2 linked regions of the Cricetulus griseus genome follow. The protein of the gene in region 2 interacts with the protein of the main gene of each other region in a pairwise test. Links are inferred from orthologs where the notes say so. Each region holds a gene or a part of one and is shown on either strand. Other genes may lie near its edges.

Region 1 (3,745 bases), on a different chromosome or scaffold from region 2:
AAAACTAGCTGCACGTCAAGTTTGAGCTTAATTTCTGGAAATAGGCGGAAGTCGCTCCGGATCATGCATGGAAGGCTAATTGAAAAGATCAGTCGGGGCGCTTGTGGCAGCCTTGTCACTTTGTGACAGTGCTCCGCTCCGGGAAATTGCATCGTCACGACAAACGGGACCGTGATAAAACGACCCTTTCCGTCCCTATTTGTAGATCACTCAGACGAGAATGAACTGTACTCGTCTCCCCTTCGAGGGGAGCTGCGTTTTCTGGGTAGCCCGAGGCTTGGGGCTGGAGGGGGGTTATAGCTCACCGAGGGGGGGCGGGGCCTCAATTGGATGAGAAGTGACAGGCGTTTAGGGATCTGGGCTCCGGCCGGGCCGGGCCAGTGCAAGAGGGTACATTGCACATTGCAGGAGACAGGTCGCTTCTCCAACATAGCAAGGCCTACCCTGCGCTTCCGGTTTCTCTTTAATTTTCTTTATCGTCCACGTTGGTTTTCTAAGTCTCATTTACCATGCAATTTATGGAGGCCGGTCTCTGGGCAAACCTTCTCAAAAAGGAAAGGCCATCTCAGAGAAACTTTCCAAGCAGCAGCCAGGATAATTCCTAGTCTACAGATGCTAGAGCATACAAGGCCTCTAATCGTAGATTTTTTTTTCCTCCTCCTTTATTGCAAAAATAACGTGGCCAGTAAGTACCTCCACAGCTGCAGCCCGCATGTGCTGGTCCGAGAGACACTGGGCCAGGGTGCCTCTGCCAGCATCGAAATGGCAGCGAGGAAACATAGCTCTAAATTCCCCTTTAGAGGTTAAGCCTCAATCATTGTGTCCCTTCCCTAGGGACTGCTGGCGTTCTCGCCCAGTGGCGATGATTATGCGCCTAGAATTCGACCGCAAAGCTTCTAATAGGAAAACATATGGTGTCAATTTGGATGCTCTGCGCCTTGCGCACACTCGGGAACCAGCCACACAAAGCCTACAGGCCAACCCGCGACCCGTGCCCCTCTGGGCCTGCCAGCCAGGTCATGGTGGAGGGGCAAACGCTTGTGGCTGAGCGCCTCTGCCCACCTGAAAACCTAAGGCAAGAGAGTCAGAGCTCCATGGTATTCGCTTCGCCAAGGAAAGTGCCTCCTGGGCCAAGCCCTAGGATCTGACAGGTTCTGTAGAAACACAGCTGCAAAGCACCCATCTTTGATCTCTTTCCTGAGTTTAGCCCCCCCACCCCATCCTGTGGCATCATCAGGGCAGCCAGCTATTACAGAACGTGGACCCGAGCTGCTGGGAACTCTATTAAGCCAGTACAGCTCCATAACTGCATGTTTCTAGAAGACCTAGGCCTCTCTACACGCCCAAGCACAGTTGTATCCTTAAGCCTGTGTAGACTCCCTAACCCTAACCCGGCCTAGTTTCACTAGCTGCCAGGCTTGAATTTTTTTTTTTTTTTTTTTTTTTTGGCTTAACTCTGTCATATACCAGCAGCCATTGGCTAAGCAGAAAGGTTAGGCCCCAAAGGGCCTGGCCAAAGGTTAGAGAAAGGCACAAAGGCTGTGGAATCAAAGGTACTAAGAGACTGGATCAACGAGGACCCACGTAGCTGCACTTGCTAGTGCAAGGTTTTCCCAATTCCTGACCAGCCCCAATAAACCCTGCTTTCAACACCTTATGCGGGGCTGGGGGGGTCTCCCCATCACTGGCCCTGGGTGCTCCACTCCCCTTCCCTTTTAGGCCTATAGCTAGGGGGGGAAGGGGAGGGGAGGAGCTGGCCTAAGATTGACTAGGGGAGGGAAGGCCCCCCAACACACACACCCCTCAGGGTCGTAGGAGATGTTCAGTCTTGGCCAAGCCCAAAGGGGCCTCCTTCTCTTCTCAGGAGAAGCCTTTGCCCCGCCCTACTCAGCCCAGCCCCCCTCTCTGGGGTCAGAGCCCGGGCAGGGGCGGGGAGGGGGTATGAGTTACAGGATTTGGGGGGATGGGGTTTCTCCACCGCAGCTTCAAAAACTCGGGCCAGTAGTTTTGAAGAGCCCCAGCTTCTTCCCTTCTAGAGCACAGCAGAGCAAATGCCTCCCTACCCTCCCTCGCTGGCTACTTGGCACTCAACGCGTGCAGCCCAAATAAATTCCCCAGGCCTCCTCCCTCTCGCCCAGTGGCCTGGAGTCCCCAGGGCCCAAGACTCTGTGTACCCCCCTAACCGGTCGGCACGCCTCCAGCCCAAGAGTCCAGGGAAAGACCCGAGACACTCACTGTTCTGCATGCTGGCGCTGGTTGGCGGCCTCCGGGTCCCACGGGGCTCGAATGCGGGGCTCTGTTAGTAAGAAAATTGGAGTTAATCCCCGGCTTTGCACAGGTAGGCCTGCACTCCTACTGAGGAAGACCTGGTGGTGCCTGCACTGGAGATTCCTCCTTTTCTTAGAAATTGAGCTACTCAACCGCTTGGGGCGATCTGAGGGTCAGCTAGCCCTGTTCTCCTATGCATGCAAAATGTACTTTGGGAGCTACGGATAAAATAATCTAACATTCACAATCAGTTTCCTCAAATATTTTTGTTCTTAGCCTTTTAATCAGAACAAACGATGATCCCAGTTTTTTTTTTGGGGGGGGGGTCTACCAGAACTATGGTTTTTTAAAAAACTCTTTCAGAATGTGAAGCCCCAAACAGCATCATAGAACTTGCCTGAAAACTGAGATGTATGTCCACTCTTAGAATAGAAGATCTCACACATCTGCTCACCTCTAGTTAAAGTCTTCTGCCTGAGATAAAACAGAGGGAAAGAAAGGTATATGTCAGCTTGGCCCCAACACATAGGTTGACTGGTAGTCTGAGGCCCACTCTCAACCCACAGTGAATCCAGGGTTGGCTCCTTCTGCTTGGAAACACTAAGGCGTCACACTTGCAGTGGCCTCTCCTACAGACACCAACATCCTTCGGAAACGGTGCTTTGGCTAGGCTTGGTTGGGTGAATTGGGGAGACTAGAGTTGTGGTCTCGCTTTGCAAAACTAATAAGCACCAGGGAAAGAGGAGGGCTTAAATCCGAAAAGCCAAGAGTGGAGTAGAAACCGAACTGGGTAAGGAAAGCAACTAACCCCTGAAGTGTGGAGGTGAAAGGAATCTTAAGGTCTTGGTGGTGCCTGAGCGCCCGCTTGGGTTAGAGAAGTCTCGGGAGTGAGCCTCAGACCAGACTCCCTCCATTCCTAAGGAATTTCAGCACCTCAGTTGTCCCAAGATCCCTAGAACTTAAGTTCTTTGGTTAGTTACTCTTTTATCCTTCACTCCCCCCACCCTACCCCCAAAGTCTTCTGGTCAGACCCCCACAACCAATCTCTCAGCTCTTTCAGGACTTAGCAAGTGGTGAGCCCAACTTTTTACCCTAAACCTCATTTATTGTAATTAACTTTGCTTTTAGTGTTTAGCTCTTTCTCTCCTTTCCTGTACTGTGACACTTGCTGTCTACCTCGCCTCACTGCTTTAAAAACTACAAACAGGAGGGGGTGAACACGGTCTACAAAGTCTACAGACACCGAACAATGGCTTCTATTCCGCAGCTTTCCCCAAACCCAAAGAGCAAAGCTGAGACTCTCAAACCAGCAACACCAGGTCCAAGCAAAGGAACCACAACTCTCCAACTCACAAAGGGAAAAGATGGACTCTTCTCATTGAAGTCCTGACCCACTATAGTACCCTCCAATGCTTCCAACCTGCTCACCCTCCCTACCTTCCCGCAAAAAAAGAGGGTTCTTGGAAGAGAGGTGGAA
Region 2 (3,745 bases):
AGTGCCACCCTCTTACCTCTGCAGACATCAGCACACTCATGTCACATGCATACACAAATATACACAAACACAAACAAAAATAAATCTGAAAACTAGTGGACAGAAGCTGGAGAGAGAGGTGCCCCTGGAGCAGGAGGATGTGCTCAGTCCAGGGTTCCATTTGATGCCCCTAAGAGGCACAAGGAGTGTGCAAAGTTGGAGCAAGGTGGCAAATGACCACTACCCAGGGCACGCAAGGGGTCTCGCTATCTGTGAACCTACCCCAAGGAACACAGATGCCAATCACCGCCCATGTCCCCGCCCACCTGGGTCAGCTGCTGTTCAGAGGCAAAGCCTAGGCCATAGACAGTGTTGGCTCGACTATCTGCCCACTGCCCGAACTTCTGCGAGGTTTTGGTGAAGGTCATGTTGGGGGTGACTGTGCTGTTGATGATGGCCTGGGGGTGGGGAAAACAAGATTCAAGGTTAGCAGGAGTGATAAAGACCACCATGAGCAGCCAGCCTCACGGCCTGAGGGAGGAGTATTTAAAGTTTAAGGCCAACCTTGGACTACATAGTGGATTAAAAAATAATTCTAGGCACCTGTCTCAGTAGACGATCCCTACCCAGAATCCCCCAGAGGCATAGCTATGGGCTGATCCCCTGCCTAGAATTCCCCCAGTGAGAGCCCACTGAGGTCTAGCCCTCTAAAGGCTCCCATTGCACAAGTCGCGCAGCCTGGCCCTGTGGCGGCACGTCATGGGGCCAGCACCTGCCCCCAGGACCCTGCTCAGACCTTGGCACCCCCGATGCAGATGATTCGGTACACATTTCTGGTTGCATCGTAGAAATAGGACACAGTAAGTGCGTGCTTGCCGGCGGGGATCCAGTTCCGCTTGGTAGTGGGGTCAATCTGGAACACGTGTGCCCGGGTGCTGAAGATTGGCTGTTCCCTGCGTGGGGGGGGGGGGGGGGAGACGGGGACGGGACAGGGATGACAGAAGTTCTGTAGGGGGCTGGCCACCCAGAGGGCTAGGCCTGACCAGAGTGGGTGGGTGCTCACCTGGCTGTGGACATTGGTCAGGCTGGGATGGGTGGCCTCTAAGGGGTACTCGGAGAGGTGACAGGAGCCTCTTGTTTGGTCTCTGGGGAGAGAAGGGCTTGTGAGCAAGGACCCAGGGATGTTCAGGGCAGGTCCTCCAGGTGACTTCCTTCACAAAAGCAGGAAGGAAGGAATCAGAGCATTTCCTACAGCCACCACCAGTCTCGGCCCAAGCTGGCCTTGAATCACTTGAATCACATACTCACTGTCCAGGTTACCAGCCACTGGGAAAGTCTCTTCCCACAGGAACTGGGCATGAGACCGAGATCAAGTGAGTAGGACATTTTATTCCCCCTCCCATCCAACAGCCCGCAGAGGGCCTAGCATCAAAAAGTGTGACACAGCTGAATCAGTGGTGGCAGCCAGGGGTCCCATCTACTCAGGAGGCCACGGCAGTTAGAGCATGCAGCCTCGGAGTTCAAGGCCACCCCTGGACATCACTGCCAGATCCCCATCTCTGAGAATAAAAGTGGAGTACTTTCAGGGCCTGACAGGGAACTCAGGACCCTCTGCTCCTACCAAAGGGCGGCTTAGCATACACCCCGAGGGCAAGGCTACACCTTGGAGTCCAAGTCGAGGCCAGGGAGCCCTAGCCTATTTAAACGGTAAAATGAAAGTTTGTCTTGGTGGCAAATGTCATCCTACCAGCACTGTGGAGGATGAGACAGAAGGCAAGCGACTCGTCCCAGTCCCCACGATGGGAGCAGAGAACCAGACTGAGAGAAGGGGGCTTCCCTGAGTTTTGGATACCCTCCTGAACCCCCGAATCTGCACTCGAGAAGACTGGGAGGGTCCTGCGGATGCAGGGCCAGGCTCCGGAGGCCAGGGCTGCCCCATGCTGCCGCGGGCAGCGGCTGCTGTGGTGCGGTCACGGGGTCTGAAACCGGAGCCCCCCATGCGGGGGAGGGGCGGCTGAACTCGAGTGGGATAAGTACTAGGACTGGCGGAGACTGGGGAGACGGGGTCCCCGAACCCAGGCCCTTCCGGTCGGGCCGCTCCTGCCGGGACTTGCTGAGGTCGGGAAAAGTTACTCACCAAGAAGTCACGCGCCTCGCAGCGGCGGCGCGGGGCAGGGGATCACGCCCGCGCGCCGTGGGGCTCCTGCCGCAAGCCCCGCGCCGGGCAGCCCTGCGCCCCCCTCCCGGAGCCGCCGACCCGCAACTTTCCAAGCGGCAGAGCTCGCGACTCGGCGCCTCCCACACCTGGAGCCGGGGCTGGGGGACCCGGTGCACTGCGCCCCGCGCCCCAGGACCCCGGCCCTTCAGCCCGCACCCCTCAGCGCCCCGGCCCCGGCCCCGCCGCACAGCCCGCAACTTTGGAAACCGTCTGCGCTCCCGAGCCCTCTGCGCCCCCCGCGCCCCGATCGCGCCTCAGGAGCTGGGCCCCTGTCGGTCCGGCTCACCCCTCGCCGCCGCCTTCGGCCCGCTCCCTCCGCGCGCCCCTCGCTACCCGCGCCTTTGTCTGCGCCGCCTCCGGTCCCATCGCGGCCAGTCCCCGCGCCGCCCCGCCTCTGCACAGCGCCCCCTGCCGGCCAGCGTCCGAGGGCGGGGAGGAGGAGGAGAGCCCAGAAGGGAGCAGGGAGGGCAACCAGCAAGGGCGAAGCGGGGGGAAAGGGATGGGGTGAGGGGCAGAAGAAGGGGAGGAGGGCACCAGGAGGCCAGGAGGAGGGACTGGGGGGGCAGAGGGAGGGAGCAAAAGGAAGAAGCGGGGGTGAGGTGGGCAGGGGACGGAGGGCGGGGCCTGGGAAGGAGTGGGGACTGGAAGGCAGGGTGAGGGGACCGCAGGGCGAGGAGGGCTGAGGGGGACAGGGTAGAGAAGGCGCAGGGAAGGCTGGCCTTTGGAGGGCCGGGAGGGAGGGGCCCATGGGATCAGGGGGTTGGAGCAGAAGGGATTAGAGGCAGGGGCCGGAAAAGAAGGCGGAGCTTCTTGGAGACAGGGAAGAGGTGGAAGGTGGCAGGGGTGAGGGCGGCGGGCTGGAGAAGGGCGTGGAGGGTAGGGGCACAGGAGAGCCTGTCCGGAGGGGCCGTGGGTCAGAGCCCAGGGTGATGGGCTGGAGGCTGCGAAGACAGGGTGGGTGTTGGTGGGTGTATCGGGGCAGGGTGTGTGGACAGCAGCGGACATCCTGGATGAGCCAGAGACCCGGAGATAGCGAGAGACACAGGAAATGAGTGGACAGTGACCCCTTGCTTTCCTGCCTCTTACCAGGGGTGGCCCTGGAGCCTTCAGGTGGCTTCTTGGTTAACTGGGGTCTGGCCGCTGACGCTGTAGGGCTGCGAGATGAGGCTGAGGAGGACAGCGTGTGGCTGCTCGTGGGCTGCATACAGTAGGTGCTCAATGGGTATTGCCAGAGTCTAGTAGCAGGTTCTAGACCTAGCTGGACGGGTTGTCTCACTGTGACATTCCCGCACCCCGGGGCTGAGACCAGACTGGGTCACACAGTGAGACCTTGTCCCCCAAAACAGAAAAAAAATAAAATAAAATGTCTTGGACCCTCAGCTTGAACCCTGCTCCCCAATACAGGTGTGTGGGTGGGGGGCTGCAACTCACTGTGGAGAGCTCTTGCCGAGCTTCCACGGAGCCCTGGGCTCCACCCCAGCACCACGGATTAGTAATGGTGGCACACACCTCTAACCCCAGCACTTGAGAGGAACAGTCAGGCAGAGA

What was found. The genes of interacting proteins can lie anywhere in the genome.
Region 1: the proteins of Homer3 (region 2) and Pax6 interact in binary tests that used the Homo sapiens proteins (3 or more experiments, as listed by UniProt). The link is inferred for Cricetulus griseus from reciprocal best matches to the Homo sapiens genes HOMER3 and PAX6.

What each region holds. Positions count from the first base shown.
Region 1 is NC_048599.1:72,004,671-72,008,415, forward strand, and holds the start of Pax6 (paired box protein Pax-6), read right to left. Parts: upstream 2,246-3,745; coding exon 2,236-2,245; intron 1-2,235. UniProt on the Homo sapiens protein: Transcription factor with important functions in the development of the eye, nose, central nervous system and pancreas. Required for the differentiation of pancreatic islet alpha cells.
Region 2 is NW_023276806.1:248,684,378-248,688,122, forward strand, and holds the start of Homer3 (homer protein homolog 3), read right to left. Parts: upstream 2,623-3,745; 5' UTR 2,484-2,622; intron 1,125-2,483; 5' UTR 1,057-1,124; coding exon 1,043-1,056; intron 933-1,042; coding exon 776-932; intron 438-775; coding exon 306-437; intron 1-305. UniProt on the Homo sapiens protein: Postsynaptic density scaffolding protein. Binds and cross-links cytoplasmic regions of GRM1, GRM5, ITPR1, DNM3, RYR1, RYR2, SHANK1 and SHANK3.